Drosophila melanogaster: one gene and its partners. The protein of the gene in region 1 purifies or fractionates together with the protein of each later gene. This does not show direct contact. Each region holds a gene or a part of one and is shown in the gene's direction. Other genes may lie near its edges.

Region 1 (3,989 bases):
TCAAAGGCTCGCTCTCAATGCAGCCATCCTTGTTGATTAGCACAAACTCAACATTGACTACGTTGCGTCCTGAATTTGCGTTTCCATCTCCACATCCAAGATTTAGCTTTGGCTGACTTGAGGCCAGCAGATTGCCCGTTTTGCGGGAATAGAGTGGAAAAGCGCGAACCACCGCACAGGCGCTGGCGAATAGATTCTCTCGTTCGCAGACGAGCACCACGCTCTCCTCGGAAACGTTCAGCACATGGTTCTTTACCAGACGAGTGATGGCATGAGCCCGGGATGCCGTATTGTGTCGGGATGCCTTCAATGGCAGGGCAGCCACGGTGGCCACATCGAGATAGAGGGATACCTTATCGGTGGGCGCGGGATGCAGACAAGCGACGGCATTCAGGAAGGTCTCCTCGGTGACGCGCGGACTGAGTTTGCTCTCCAGATGACTGAACTTCAGTAGGTTTAGATGGCGCAGCTGGCCGATGATCAGGACCGGATGTGTCTGCGGATCACTGCAGCCTAGCGACTCGTTAAACTTTACGTCCGTGGCCATCTGTAAGAGAATGTGTGTGCGAATGAGTAAAGAATGGAATGGCTAGCCAAATCCCAGTGATAAGCCGCCGGTATTATCTTATCGGTGCTAATCTGGTGTTTAGCGCTCCAAGTGCCCCACTTGCTTATCAGTCGACGACTTTGCACCACAGGGGCGGTCAATGGATGCAGCCATCCATAAATCACGAGAGCCAAAACCGGCGAGATAAGCAGTGGCATTTGGGTTATGGGTAGGGCCATCTGGACAAACACAGGGGCGTTACTCATCGGTTGCAAGCGGATGCAACGCTGTAGGGGAAGTTTAAGAATAGCTGACCCATATTAGAATGGCTCAATTAAAGTAGCTCCATTGTGAAAAATACTGCAGTATAATTTTATAACTAAAATTCTAATAAAAAACAATCAATCAATAATTATGTTTACAACTAAAAAGCATTGGGTTCATAAAATGAAGCTTCAAAAGAAAAAAATTACCTCTAAAATATTTTAACTATAATAATCACCTAATATACATAAATATAAATTGTATTGCATTTATAATGAACAAATTAAGATAAATTGTAGTAGCAATATGAATTCTAATAATTTACATAACATTTTCTGAGTTTTAGCGAATATTAGAAAATCTTATAAAATCAAATAACGTTTTTTTTTACAAATTATTAATTTTAATATATTTTGGTACAATAACTTAACTAAGTAGTTAACATTTTCAACTTAAAGCCATCAATTTTCCAGCTTTACAGTCGCAAGGCAATAAAAACATAAACTACCGAAAAGATATCGTTCAGCACATATCTTTACGATGCTCCATAAACTCGCATGGGTTTTATAAGCACGATATCATTGTGCATAAAGCGATTTAAGTTTCTTAAAATCGCAAATGCCACATGACCTTGAATTCGGTGCAACAAGAACAACAAGTGGGTCGTTGACCGACTCGCAGCATTCGAAACCGAAAAGTGGATAAACATCTAATTTACCCATTTTCAATTGGATTTGACTGGACACTCGATATGTAGAAATATTATGCAAATTCTATATTCTCTATTTTTAGACTCTTTGTTCGCGATTTCTTCGTTTGCAAAGCGTTTTTTGCACATTTTCTGCCTTTTTATTCGCTCACCTTTTTGAAGCGGGCGCTGCTGTAGGTGCGAGCGAGATGGTTGCGTATTGCCTGGACGCAGAGCAGCAAACGCATGAAGTGCCTGCTTCAGAAATTGCACAAAAATTTGCCAAAAGTGCCGACGTTTTATTTTTATTTTATTTTGCTGCCAATTTGACTTGCAATTTTTTGCTTGCCGGCTAATAGAGATGTGACTTGCACGACGATAAGTCGATGTCAGCTATCGATAAGTGCAGAACCACTTTTTTCTTTCAGCCTGGCCACCCTGCTGGTGTCGTGGAAGTGTCATCCCTAATGAGAAGTACCACCACTAACTGGAAAGCAAAACAAGCGTCTGGAAAACGGCGCTTAGTTTTTAAAGATTTTAATTGATTGCAGTAAATTGAGTTTAAAATGGCAATTATTATGACTGAATCGAGTTACGAAAGGCGCGTAAAGGCTTTGTACGAAAAACAAATTCACATGGAAGCCCTCGAGGCGAAATTCATCAAAAAGGTCTTTAAATTCAACAGCAATTTGTGTGAGTTGGAATTTATCTCCATATATCTCCATTTCAATTGATATATTTCACTAAATATTTTAGTGGATGTCAAGGAAGCAGCTTCGCGCCATCAGCGGAAAGTGGGAAAGTTGCAAAAAGTGCTCATGGAGCGGCGGGAGGAGTTGGACAAGCGAGTTTCCTTCATAGAGGAACTTGATCGAGAACTGGAGGCCACCAAACTTCACAATTTGGCCATGAAAGATTGGTTTAAACAGCAGAAAATGCTGGCCAAACAGCGCAAAAACGAAATCATGGAAAGGTCAGGGATTAGGTCAAAGATAATCATATTAAGATTTTCTTAGCACGAATGGCTAGCTAATATTTTCCGGGCTCCAATGGGTTCGATCTTGTCCTTATTATACATAAAAATGACTATTCATATTGATTTTTAGTCCATCCAAAACTACTATTGGTACAAATATATGTATATGACAATAATGTATTGTCAACATTTATGGTCTTTACATGCGTACAAGTTGCAGTGAGAGACTAATCAAATACTTTATTTACTTTAACTAAATCTATTAGGAGCATCATCAAAGTCTATAAACTGCAAATAATAGATATAGTTGAGGTCGTGTTCCAAATAACTTATTTAGCTTACATACATAATTTATTTGCATAGCCTCACATGCGCTCTTATTTTTCAAACAAATCCGATTTTAATGCGGTCAGTTTTAAACTTAGTATACTATAATGAGAGCAATGTGTGTTTATTTGTTTTATTTTATAGCATTCACACGCTGTCGAAGACAACAAGAACCTATATAAATCAAGAAGCGCTGCCGGCACGTGTGAAGGGTGTCACTGTACTCCGTGGCGATAAACGCGACCAGTTGATACCCTTTGATCTGAAGGCGACCGATGTGGAAGGACTGGACTCACTGTGTCAGCATCTCGAGAGTCTAAATGTGGACGTGGCGCAGTGGCAGCAGCTTATCTCGCTGGCCATGGACATGGCTATGGAGTCACGTGCTCCCACTACTCCGCCCAAGGAAGCAGACAATTGCAAGTCTATAATCGAGATTGATCTCACATCGCCGATGAGCCACACCTGACTTCCGATTAACTGATTTACTTGGATTAGGGGGAAGACCCTTTTCCAATGGAGCACTTTATTTTAGCATTATAAATAGTTGGCTTCCAATAAAAGCTCAATTGGGAATTCATCTTAACGAATTAAGCATCTTATTATAGCAGTTTTTTAGCCATTTAAGTACTGCTTGTAATTGTTTAAGTGCAGTGTAAATTATACATATATCTCCCAAAATTTTTTTTTTTTTCTTTTTTCTGATATATCATCTTCACTGGAAGCTTAAAAATTTTTAGAGATATCGCCAAAGAAGAGATATCGCGAAAGGCTCCAGTTTAAGTAGTTCCAATTCAAACTTATTCAAATTAAAAACCAGTTATTGAATTTATTTTAAATCAAAAGTCTTCTTATCATATTTAACCAAATTTACAACTTTAGTGATAATTATATCATAAATTTGGTTTAATGAGTTCTCTATTACTATAAGGTTTTATATATATTTCAAATGTTTGGGTAATTTCCTTATAACTATATCAGAACAAGACCTGTTTTATTAAACACCTTTCTTTAAGATTTGTATGATTATCTGAGAGCTTTTGACATGGCGGCCGGTGTTAATCGAGAAATCTCGAAAGTCACAAGCGACTCAGAGTGCCACCGACTAACCGATCTATGAATAAACAGCGATCCATATAGATTGGCGCTGCTCAATTGCTATTGTCCGGCGAAAGTTAGAGCGACCT
Region 2 (4,511 bases), on another chromosome or scaffold:
CTATGAAGCACACTCCATACCGGCTACAAGTTCCCTCATCCTTCTCCACTATGGCCAACATATAGTTGGGCTGATGATTCGGCCCGATCTTGCACTGTGAGCCAAAGACCTGGGTGCCACGATTGGTGATCTGGCAGATCTCGCGGGCCACCACTTTGTCGAACTTGGTGGCCTTGATCCGCTTGCAGCGCTCAGTCATCATATCTGGAGTTTCCGTTTGCTCAACGCGAGCCACCTAAAGAAAAACTTGTATTAGTTTTACTGGGAAAAGGAGCTATCCTTGGACAAATTACCTTGAAGCCCCTGTCTACGAGAATGGTGGACATCTTGTCGAAGGATATCTCCGGGAAACCGGAGTGAGCAAACTCGCCGCGCATGTAAGTGAAGCCCAGCTCGTTGACGCCCACATCCGCATCCATGTGATACAGTTCATAGAACTTGCCGACTTTAAAAAACAAGACGCAGTCATAGTTGTCCGACTTAAGGACCCACCACTGTCGAACTCCCGGCGACAGGCCATTGAGGAACTTCTCCGGCACATGCAAGGTGCTCTTATCGTAGTCCGGATGATCTGGACGTCTTCCCTCCTTGTCCTTGATCTTGTCCGGTTGCAGGAACTCTAGTTTCTGGTGCGGCCAAACAACGGGCTCATCCAGATTGGACGTGTTGGTCACGATATCATCGTAGGAAGCATCCTGCTTGGCATTGCTCTGCAGGTTCTTCAGCTTTTCTTGAAAGGTTGCACCCTCGGCCAACTGGATGGTCGACTCTAGCTTGACCTTCTTGCTCGATGGCTCATTGTTATTGTTGTTATTCAGAATCTTAGACTTTTTGCGCGATTTCTTGGGTGTCGGACTGTCCACGGACATGTCGTTCTCGCTAGGCGACACCTCCTCCGCGCCGCTGCTAACGCTATCATCGCTGGCTTCATTCTCATCCGGTTCGTAGTCGGAGGCGCAATCGGAGAAGTCGTCCTCCGACTTGGTTACCTCCATTTCCGGCTCACTGTCCGATTCCGGCTGAACGATGCGCTTCCGCTTGCGTTGACCACTGGCCGGCTCATCGTCGGAAATGGGCAACTTCCTCTTGGCCGCCGGCTTGGAAGCCTCTTTCTTACCATCCTTCACTTTTGGCTGCTGGTTCTGGAGATTCTCCTTTTCGCTCTTGGATGCATCGGGATCTGTTTTCACGCTAGGAGTCAATTTCTTTTTGTCGAAAGCTGGCGACTTGGAAAAGTAATTTAGTAGCGTGTTTGTGGGCGTCCCGCCCACGCTGGTGTTTAACTTCTTGGACATGACAATGGCCTAGAAACGTCTGCCAGGTTACTCAAAAAACCAGGATGCAGACGCTGCGATTGTGCGCCAAAACCAAAAAATATTCTGTCAAATTGTGGCTTAATAATACCGAAATAGTAGCTTGACTATTTAGTATATTTAGGGAACTCGTGCCCGTTGGAATTTTCGAATACCACTGAGGAGATTTTATTTTTTCGTTACAATTTGATGCTTCTTATATAATAAGTCATTTTTTTTCATTTTTGATCTGTGTTTATCTAGGCTTTGTTGTCCCAAAATAAATAAAGAGTGATAGTTAAGAATTAAGCAAAACAATTGATAGCCATACCTATATTTTCATCAACCTTATATTTTCAACCATATTTTCAATTCCTTTACTTTTAGATACAGAATTCTAATTAAGCAGGAAAATCGAAACTTTCCAGAATAATAACAAGAGTTATGATATTGGATCGTTCTGTTCATGAAATGTTTATTGAATTTGGTCAAATTGATCAATTAAAATCCAGTGGAATAGCCTTATGGTATTCTTTAAATGAATACCCTATATATTTCATGCTAATACTTAGTATTTTTTCAATGAACCGCATGGTATTCTAAGGCGGCTGAGCAACGGTCACTTCAATTCCAAAACAAACTTAATTTCACGAGATCGCAAAATAAACTTTTGAAATAAGCCAAAATGTCGCTAGCCGATGAGCTTTTAGCCGATCTCGAGGAAGACAATGACAATGAGCTGGAGGAGGAGGATTCGGAGATGGCCAGTGCAGAGGACGAGAGCGTAAGGAACCAAAGCAAATGTTGATCAGACCTAATGATTCCCCTCCCACAAAACAGTTGCTGGCGGAGAAGCTGGCTAAGCCGGCTCCCAATCTGATGGACGTGGATGTAACCGTGCAGTCGGTGCGGGAACTGTGCAAGCTGCGCGACTCTGAGCGCCTGAAGAACACGCTGCAGCAGATCGAGCACTATGCCAGTCGCCAGAGAACTGCAGCCGAAATGCTGGGATCCGTAGAATCCGATCCAGAGTACTGCCTCATCGTGGACGCTAATGCCATAGCTGTGGACATTGACAACGAGATCTCCATTGTGCACAAGTTCACCAAGGAGAAGTATCAGAAGCGATTCCCCGAATTGGACTCCCTGATCGTGGGTGAAATCGAGTACTTGCTGGCGGTCAAGGAGCTGGGCAACGACCTGGACCAGGTCAAAAATAACGAGAAGCTGCAGGCTATTCTCACGCAGGCCACCATTATGATTGTGTCAGTCACGGCGTCCACCACACAGGGGTAAGTTATTTGAACGGTGTAACCCAAAATAACATGTCACTGAATCCCATTCCCTTTCGCAGAACCATGCTGACACCGGCGGAGAAGGCAAAGATCGACGAGGCCTGCGAAATGGCCATCGAACTGAATAACTTCAAGTCCAAGATCTACGAGTATGTGGAAAGTCGCATGACCTTCATAGCCCCAAATCTTTCCATGATTGTTGGAGCATCGACGGCGGCTAAACTCTTGGGCATTGCTGGTGGCCTTTCCAAATTATCCAAAATGCCGGCCTGCAATGTTCAGGTGTTGGGTGCACAAAAGAAAACCCTCTCGGGCTTCTCACAAACGCAGATGTTGCCGCACACTGGCTATGTGTACTACTCACAGATTGTGCAGGATACTGCGCCAGATCTGCGACGCAAGGCAGCTCGCTTGGTGGCCGCCAAGTCCGTGCTGGCTGCTCGTGTTGATGCCTGTCATGAGAGTGTCCACGGGGAGATTGGACTGCGCTTCAAGGAGGATGTGGAAAAGAAGCTGGACAAGCTGCAGGAGCCGCCGCCGGTGAAGTTCATAAAGCCGCTGCCCAAACCCATCGAGGGAAGCAAGAAGAAGCGAGGAGGCAAACGCGTGCGCAAGATGAAGGAACGATATGCGCTGACAGAGTTCCGCAAGCAAGCGAACCGCATGAATTTCGGAGACGTAAGTTTCTGGCTTAAAAATATAATGGTTATGTATTAATCTTTGAACTTTTCTTTCAGATCGAAGAGGATGCCTACCAAGGAGATCTGGGCTATTCACGCGGCACCATCGGCAAAACTGGCACCGGCCGCATCCGATTGCCCCAGGTGGATGAGAAGACCAAGGTGCGCATTAGCAAAACGTTGCACAAGAATCTGCAGAAACAGCAGGTGTACGGCGGCAACACCACGGTCAAACGCCAAATCTCCGGAACGGCATCCAGTGTGGCCTTTACGCCACTGCAAGGTCTAGAGATTGTGAATCCGCAGGCGGCGGAGCGTTCGCAGACGGAGGCCAATGCCAAATACTTTTCAAACACATCCGGATTCATGTCAGTGGGACAGCGGACCACTTAAGAGAACAGCTCTATCCTTATTTTCTATAAAATTAAGCACTTTTATTTGGAGATTTGTCGAATGTATATTGAGTTAGGCGTAGTAAAGCTGCATAAGAGATTCGAATTGTTGTTAGCTGAGCTTGCCGACTTCCAGTTTCCGTTGAATGGCCTCCCACGAGTTGTTCAGCAGCACGGCGAGAATGCCGGCCACCGTGAACACGCCTCCGATGATGGAACAGCAATTCGTGGCGAAGTGGCCAAATGAGCTGGGAATACACAACACAACCAATAAAACTTGTAAAATTAACCATTAGCTTTGTGGCTTACTGACCTGTGTCTCTCCGCATATTTCACCATCAGTGGCGAGAGCTCGTAGCTGAAGAATATCCCCGGCATTCCGCGCTCGCGATCTGAAAGATCTTTTCGGTATCGCGTGACGGAGAATTGATTCGTGTATATGGGCTCGCCGTCGCTGTTTCCTCGCATATATAATGTGGGAACAATTTTTAAATAGTAATTGAACATTTCACTTTTGGTTTCTGCAAAAAGAGGAGAGCAGATTTTCTAGTTTACTTCATTTGTCGTTGATAAATGTATTTAATTTGGTAAGGTAATTACGAATTAAACTTCATGCTTCTAAAAACAGGTATTTCACAATTCGAACAAATGAGTATATTTTTTCCAATTTAAAAAATGAAAATGCCCCACACAACAGACCTCCGAAGTTTCCCAGAAATTCTTCGAGGAGTAAAATATAAATTAAAATGGATGCCTGTGCTTAAATAACTTAGTTTTTTTTTATTTCAGTCTTAAGTATGCTTTTTAATAATATTAATAAATAAAGAATATAAATTGATTTTAAAGCACCCG
Region 3 (3,319 bases), on another chromosome or scaffold:
CGCTGCTTCTCCGCTACCATGGAACAGAATTGCTCGATCTCGGCCAGCTGCCGCCAGCAGCGGTTGCACAGGCACGTGGACACCACGTCGTTTTCCGCCAACTGAAAGCGAACAATTCAATCATTAGAAAAAAACATCTTTTTGGGGTAGAAAAGTCCAAATCCACTCACCACCAGCAGCAGATGTCGCTCGATCAGCTCGGCCAGCTGGCGATGTGCCGGTTGTCCCATTGGCGGTTCCTGGCCGAAAATGGGCACCCCGTGCTCAGCATCCTCCAGGCAGAGTCGGCATATCATCTCATAAAAGGAAGGACACAAATCCCGAGTCGAATCGCGTTAAATGCAGCTGTTTTTGATTCGTTGCTGAGTTTTGTTATGTGAGCGTTACCGGACCGCGAAAAGAGACCTCCGCGACTGATTGTGCAAACACAAGAAAATAGGCTAGAAAAAATAGCTAAGAAGATAACCAACACATTGGTTCAATATTTTGTGACTAAAATTAATCAATTTAAATGCTTTTTTTGTATAAACTTTATTGCGGTAAGGTTAGTTTATTTCTGAGATGTATGCTTTTTGAAAGCTCTGAACTTTGACAACTTCCGCCTGACATATTGAGGATATCAATTGATGTCACATAAACTGCGACGAAAGATTCATTTCTTGCTGGTTGCTTGATGATGGCTGACGCATTGGCTTCGGCGGCGGTATTGGTCTCTCCTTGGGCTTGGAAATAGGCTCCTTAATAACCAATAAATCAGATTCGGATCCGTGCAGCAGATCCATATTTAAATCGATATTTTCTCCCAAAACCTCGTTGATGGTATCAGATAAGTTACCCATCTGTTTCCGCTTCTCTTCCAACTGCCTTTTGGCTATGGCATCGTTGACCAGATCCTCGATGCTGGGCGTTATTTGGAGGGCAGGACGATGACCGCTGGGCAGGAGATAGCGATCTGCCAAAACCATCAAATGGCTAAGAACGGAGCAAACTTGTTGCCACACCAATTCGCCCCATTCCAAGGTGATACGTCCCAGGACCTGGTCGAAGGATTCGTTACAGCTAAAGGATCGCAGGAACTCCTCGTAGATCACCTCACTGCCGCCGCCCACAGAGGGCAACATCCAGAACAGGAGAAGCACCTTGAACTCACTTAGCAATGGAATAAATGCCAGCAGACCCGCTGTGAAATAATCAAAGGCCACATAAACTCCATAGGCAATCCAGTAGATTAACCATCCGCGAAGATCATTGACGCTACAATTCTGACTTTTCAGGATCTTGTAGGACGCGAATGCTGGATAGAAACAGCCCACCAGAAGGGACAGTATGTGTATCACGATCGCATAAATCATTATTTGGAAATTTTGGATAATCTTAAAATTTTGGATTTTGAGAAAGTATATATATAGCTGTGTATTCGGTTCTCGATTTTGTTCATTTGGTTTGACTACTTGAACAAATACAATAAATTGAAATGTGATTCTAAACGCAAGGCCTGCTTAGCATTCATAAAATGACTTATGCCCTATAACCCTTTTCCCCTTTTTTAGTTCAGCTTTTTTTCAATGAGTATATATCTTTTTATTAATATTAAAAGTGCAATTTTTTATATCGTATATTTTAATTTGTATAAAAGGTTTTGGCTTGAAAAGAGCCAGAGCGAATTACGTTCAAAAGATGTGGCATCACTGGATCAGCGATGGGTGTTGGCAAGCGTTTACGGATTTAAAAACTGAAAACAAACGAAGCGACGCGATGGAGCCAGCCGAAAGTCCAGAAAAATTAATGAAATTCGTACGCCGCAGTGACGTACTGGAATACGTGGGCAACACGAGTGCCGTCGATCTATCGAGCGGTGATCTCTCCGACATCGATCTCAAGGACGTGCCGGCCCAACTGGAGGCCACTTTGAAACCGCGTCGCTATGAAGCAAGCACTTTGTTTAACATTGACCTGGACGATAGTAAGTGCAATCCTTGTGGTTAATTAAATTGCCATTTACTTAACGTACAGACTTTCAGTCTGGGATCCTAGCTGTCAGGAGGACGAGGTGCAGCAGTACAAGGAGCGCGCCCAGAAGGAGCAGCAAAAGTTCTTCGACTTTGTAATGCATGCGGCACTGGACACGGACAATCGCAAGGTTAGCTTCAAGCCAAACAAGGAGCAGCAGCGTTACCTAGATCAGGGACCCAATTTGCAAAACTTCGTGCGAAGCTCGTTGGCTTTCACAAACGCGGCCATCCGATTTCAGGCGGAGCACGAGGACATGATGGAGCTGCAGTGCAATATGGACGATCACTACCTATTCATGCGGAACACCATGATCAACAACGCTATACACCAGAATATGGCCAACCAACGGTGACCCTAAGCTATGCATAAATATACATATGTGAATTGTAGATATTGATAAATTAAATTAAGACTCAGAGATTGTAAGACGGTTTGCTTTTGGCTTATACAGTATAATTCGCTTAGCTGCCTCGAGTACTTTGCACAATGCCTCGATGCAGGTAACTTAAAAATGCAGCTAACTTAATTTTTTTTTTTCTATTTTCTATTTTCTATTCACACAAAAAAATGGAAAAATAATGCAGATATCTTGCCGATGCAGCTAACTATCGATGCAGCTAAGCGAATTATACTGTATTTATTTCTACCCTAATATGTAACTCCCTAAGTTGCACTTCTGATGATGGCTGCCTTTAAGTCTGACCGAAAGAAATGAAAACCGATCAAACGTCTTGAAAACATTGTCTGTATGTAAACTGAAGTTAACAAAGGTTTCGTTTTATGTTCTGGTCTACTCAGGCGTTAGGTCTACTTTAAATTGTGTGTATATTTGTGAGCTGCTTATTCCTTGTTCCAGGCTGCCAGGTATTTCATGAGGTCCGTGAGACTCTCGAAATCGGTGCGGCTGGCTGGTGGTTCGTCCTTGGTGATTCTTGGCAGTGCATTGCCCATCTTGAGGCGGAACTCCTGGAACTGCGAACGAAACGAAAGATTTAAAGCGAAATTCATTGAACAAATCGGAGGCATGCTCACATCCTTGGCTCCGGATAGCTTCCAGAAGCCGTAGCAGAAGGCGCCGGTGCCCATCACGGCGTACAGTGTGCCCCAGCCCAGCGCCCGCAGGGCCAGGGTGGCGCCCTCGTCCATCAGGATCATGCCTTGCCGCGTTCCAGCCTGCTGGAGGACCTTGCTATCCGTCTTCTTGGCGGTGGCCAGCGTGCGCGAGAAGCCGAACAGAGCGGACACCCCGCCCACCAAACCCAGAAAGGCGGCGGCTAGAAAGGAGGATGAAATGGAGTTGTACTTC
Region 4 (3,933 bases), on another chromosome or scaffold:
AAGAGCACAGTTATTTATGTTTTTAACTATTTATTTAAGTGCTTAAGTCAGATAACTTCAAACCTTACGCCTTTATGTTTCACCCAGTTCATTGTTACATGTATCAAATGTGTCGCCCAGTTTTACACCCCTTATCGAAAATGTGTTAAAATTTCGTTTTAGGAAAATCATAAAAATAGTGATAGGGATAGTTAGTTATATTTATTAGCAGTCATTAGTTTAGCTGTGACACCTTTTTTGGCCAAGTTTTGGAGAAATGAGCGATTGGAAATATACGATTTTCGACAAAATTTCTCTTCGTTCCTTTTTCGTTACAAAAATAACGAGTTTTTTTGCAATAGCAATAAGAATAGTTGTCCAAAACTGGAATGTCATATCTCGTTGAATTCGTAACTTAATTCCCTATCCATATGTGTTGAAACCTGAAAGATCCAAGAGGCTTCAATTTTTTGCAAATTTTGATGAGGGTACCCCTTATCAAAAATGCGAAATTTTGTAAAAATTTTATTTTTGGAAAATCAAAAAACTAGTGATAGGGATAGTTAGGTATGTTTATTAGCAGTACAAAACAGTCTTTATTTTCGCTGTGCCACCTTTTTGGCCAAGTTATGGAGAAATCAGCGATTGGAAATATACGATTTTTGACAAAATTTCTTTTCGTTCCTTTTTGGTTACAAAAATAACGAGTTTTTTTGCAATAGCAATAAGAATAGTTGTCCAAAACTGGAATGTCATATCTCGTTGAATTCGTAACTTAATTCCCTATCCATATGTGTTGAAACCTGAAAGATCCAAGAGGCTTCAATTTTTTGCAAATTTTGATGAGGGTACCCCTTATCAAAAATGCGAAATTTTGTAAAAATTTTATTTTTGGAAAATCAAAAAACTAGTGATAGGGATAGTTAGGTATGTTTATTAGCAGTACAAAACAGTATTTATTTTCACTGTACCACCTTTTTTGGCCAAGTTATGGAGAAATCAGCGATTGGAAATATACGATTTTTGACAAAATTTCTTTTCGTTCCTTTTTGGTTACAAAAATAACGAGTTTTTTTGCAATAGCAATAAGAATAGTTGTCCAAAACTGGAATGTCATATCTCGTTGAATTCGTAACTTAATTCCCTATCCATATGTGTTGAAACCTGAAAGATCCAAGAGGCTTCAATTTTTTGCAAATTTTGATGAGGGTACCCCTTATCAAAAATGCGAAATTTTGTAAAAATTTTATTTTTGGAAAATCAAAAAACTAGTGATAGGGATAGTTAGGTATGTTTATTAGCAGTACAAAACAGTATTTATTTTCACTGTACCACCTTTTTTGGCCAAGTTATGGAGAAATCAGCGATTGGAAATATACGATTTTTGGCAAAATTTCTTTTCGTTCCTTTTTGGTTACAAAAATAACGAGTTTTTTGCAATAGCAATAAGAATAGTTGTCCAAAACTGGAATGTCATATCTCGTTGAGTTCGTAACTTAATTCCCTATCCATATGTGTTGAAACCTGAAAGATCCAAGAGGCTTCAATTTTTTGCAAATTTTGATGAGGGTACCCCTTATCAAAAATGCGAAATTTTGTAAAAATTTTATTTTTGGAAAATCAAAAAACTAGTGATAGGGATAGTTAGGTATGTTTATTAGCAGTACAAAACAGTCTTTATTTTCGCTGTGCCACCTTTTTTGGCCAAGTTTTGGAGAAAACCCCGTACGGGCATATCAGATTTTTAGCATCATCTTTTGCAGCGCTGGAGGAAGCCAGAGTTTTCACTCACCAATAAAAAATGTAACTTAGTAACTTTAGCCAGATTTTCCGTTACTTTTTAAGTTTGCGCTGAACAAATGCAGTATTTTCTAGCTGCCGGGAAAGAAAACCGGATAAAAAAACCCGAGAATCTGCTGTAGGACTATAGGTGTGAAAACCACATAAATTCTGAGTTAGTATTTTAGTGGTTTTTTGGGGCTAGCAAGCTTTGGTCACATCAATCTGATCCCTTAGCGGCGTTCCATTCAAAAACTGCCATTAAAAATTAAAACTCTGGATTGAATGGCGTTATCAGTCGAAATTGAAAGGGTAATGGACCAGGGCAACTGCCTGATGCCCGACATCAATATCTGCCAAAGCGACTTGGCCAATCCCACCGAGCCCATTGTCACCAAGATCATGGTGCACTATCTGCGGAGTTTCGGCTTTCGCCTGGAGCCGCCCTATAAGATTGGCACCGAACTCGGTCACTCGTCGCGGGAGGCGCGCGTCTTTCTTATCCGAGTGTGCCGCCAAGTGGAGCGCATCGTCCAGATCAGCTTTCCCAACAAGACGTACACCTATATGGACATAATTAAACCAGGTGAGCCGGCAGCCGGTCTTACAATAAGCAATTATTATTAAACAATTCTTTGGCTATTAGCTGTTAAAAAAACGCTCGCCACGCTGAGCTACCTTTTCAACCATCTGGCCTACTACAAGGTGTTCAAAAAGAAGGTGCTGGGACCTGTAGAGGAGGCCATTAAGCTAAAGGATTCGCTGACCGCCGAGGTGAAGGCCAAAAGTCAACAGCTGGAGCAATGCAGCCAGAAGACGAAGGATTGCGAAGTGGCCATAAACAAACTCAAGAAAGATTTGCAGGATACTCAAGCAAAGCTTCTACCTTTGAAGAAGTCCTGTAGCGAGCATGAAAACACTCTGGAACTCATTGAGCAGCAGCAGGGTGAGCTGGACAAACGCATCGGTCACTGGGAACAGCTAGTGGTGGAGGACAGTCAAGTGACAGAGCTGCGAGAGTAAGTGCTGTCGGGCAAGCCTAGATTCTGTGCTTATTTTAATGTCAAACATTGTAGGAAAATTAAGAGCGCATCGTCGCATGTCGAGAGCTGCAAGACGGAGCTGGCCAGTAAAAAACAGGTGACGAATGAACATCGCCGGATGATCGAAAACAGTCAACATATAGCCACCGCTTTGGAGAAGGCCACGGCTGTGCTTTCGCTGTGCAAGGTGGATGATTACAAAGAGAGCTTCAAGCAGCTGGAGGCAGTGGAAAAGCAGTTGCCCACCTGTAAAGTTAATTATCAGAAGCTCCTTCAGGATGCAGAGGCCAAGAAGCAGGAACTCGCTCTTTGTGCACATCGGTACGAGGAAAGAAACCAGGAAAACGATGCCGAGAATCACAAGGTGCAAAATGAACTCAAAAAGCTGCAGGTCGATGTTGAGGATCGCAAGAAACGTCTGGAGGATCTGAATAATCACTTGATCGAGCTAGACCAGCAAAATTTGGAGCAAGATCAGCTATATGCCATATTAAATGAGCAAATCCATGAGGTTCTCGGACAAAACTGGCAGATGAATTCCACTTAATATACTGATTTTATTCTATTAATGCAAAACAGCTCAGCTCGTTTTTATGGTTAGGACTGAACAAAGGGGTCGGTGCCGGTTTACGTTTCCATTTTCTTGCTCTCCAAATGGGCCTTCAACTGCTGGCTGAAGTCGTCCTCCACGTTGTCGTCGTCCCAGTTGTCCTCCCACACATTTAGCTCTTCCTCGTCGTCGCCAACGCGGAAATCTACAATGAAAGTGATTAGAAACTGCCGATGTACCACCACATTATTGCGTCCAACCTTCGGCGGGAAACTCTTCGAACTCGTCGTCCTCCTCCAGGAGACCCAAGTCTTCGCTCTTGTTGTTGGTCTCCTCCTTCTCTTTCTCCTTTTCCTTATCTGGGGCAGACATTTTGTGTGCTTTTATTAATTCCAACGGCGATAAAACAATGTTTTTGACGCTATTCGCGTTTTTTGTTGCTAAATGATGCCAGTCACTTTTAATTGTGTGACCGCAGCTGTACCGTCGAAATATACCCAAGTGAACAGGAAAAAATACTTTCAAAATACCGTTGGCACCCGACAGTGATGTCAAATCTAACTTTATAGCTAGAAAAAAAGG

What was found.
Region 2: the proteins of Spc25 (region 1) and Prp31 purify together in Drosophila melanogaster (affinity purification with western blotting, with the first as the bait; one study listed by BioGRID). This does not show direct contact.
Region 3: the proteins of Spc25 (region 1) and Kmn1 purify together in Drosophila melanogaster (affinity purification with mass spectrometry, with the first as the bait; 2 studies listed by BioGRID). This does not show direct contact.
Region 4: the proteins of Spc25 (region 1) and Nuf2 purify together in Drosophila melanogaster (affinity purification with mass spectrometry; 2 studies listed by BioGRID). This does not show direct contact.

What each region holds. Positions count from the first base shown.
Region 1 is NT_033777.3:12,959,771-12,963,759, forward strand, and holds Spc25 (Spc25), read left to right. Parts: upstream 1-1,974; 5' UTR 1,975-2,065; coding exon 2,066-2,192; intron 2,193-2,255; coding exon 2,256-2,472; intron 2,473-2,946; coding exon 2,947-3,271; 3' UTR 3,272-3,479; downstream 3,480-3,989. Other genes in the region: grsm (granny smith), read right to left, coding at 1-547. UniProt on the Drosophila melanogaster protein: Acts as a component of the essential kinetochore-associated Ndc80 complex, which is required for chromosome segregation and spindle checkpoint activity during meiosis and mitosis.
Region 2 is NT_037436.4:15,157,193-15,161,703, forward strand, and holds Prp31 (Pre-mRNA processing factor 31), read left to right. Parts: upstream 1-1,907; 5' UTR 1,908-1,977; coding exon 1,978-2,076; intron 2,077-2,132; coding exon 2,133-2,584; intron 2,585-2,646; coding exon 2,647-3,265; intron 3,266-3,324; coding exon 3,325-3,660; 3' UTR 3,661-3,771; coding exon of another isoform or gene 3,772-3,907; 3' UTR 3,908-3,946; downstream 3,947-4,511. Other genes in the region: Msh6, read right to left, coding at 1-235, 294-1,295; CG7011 (uncharacterized protein), read right to left, coding at 3,772-3,907, 3,973-4,180.
Region 3 is NC_004354.4:11,570,835-11,574,153, reverse strand, and holds Kmn1 (kinetochore Mis12-Ndc80 network component 1), read left to right. Parts: upstream 1-1,711; 5' UTR 1,712-1,755; coding exon 1,756-1,963; intron 1,964-2,021; coding exon 2,022-2,365; 3' UTR 2,366-2,771; downstream 2,772-3,319. Other genes in the region: CG11696 (uncharacterized protein), read right to left, coding at 1-101, 171-296; Reepl1 (receptor accessory protein like 1), read right to left, coding at 630-1,352; CG11699 (uncharacterized protein), read right to left, coding at 2,854-2,985, 3,046-3,287.
Region 4 is NT_033779.5:7,063,876-7,067,808, reverse strand, and holds Nuf2 (Nuf2), read left to right. Parts: upstream 1-1,971; 5' UTR 1,972-2,043; coding exon 2,044-2,344; intron 2,345-2,404; coding exon 2,405-2,777; intron 2,778-2,834; coding exon 2,835-3,348; 3' UTR 3,349-3,378; downstream 3,379-3,933. Other genes in the region: Sem1 (suppressor of exocyst mutations 1), read right to left, coding at 3,429-3,556, 3,612-3,723.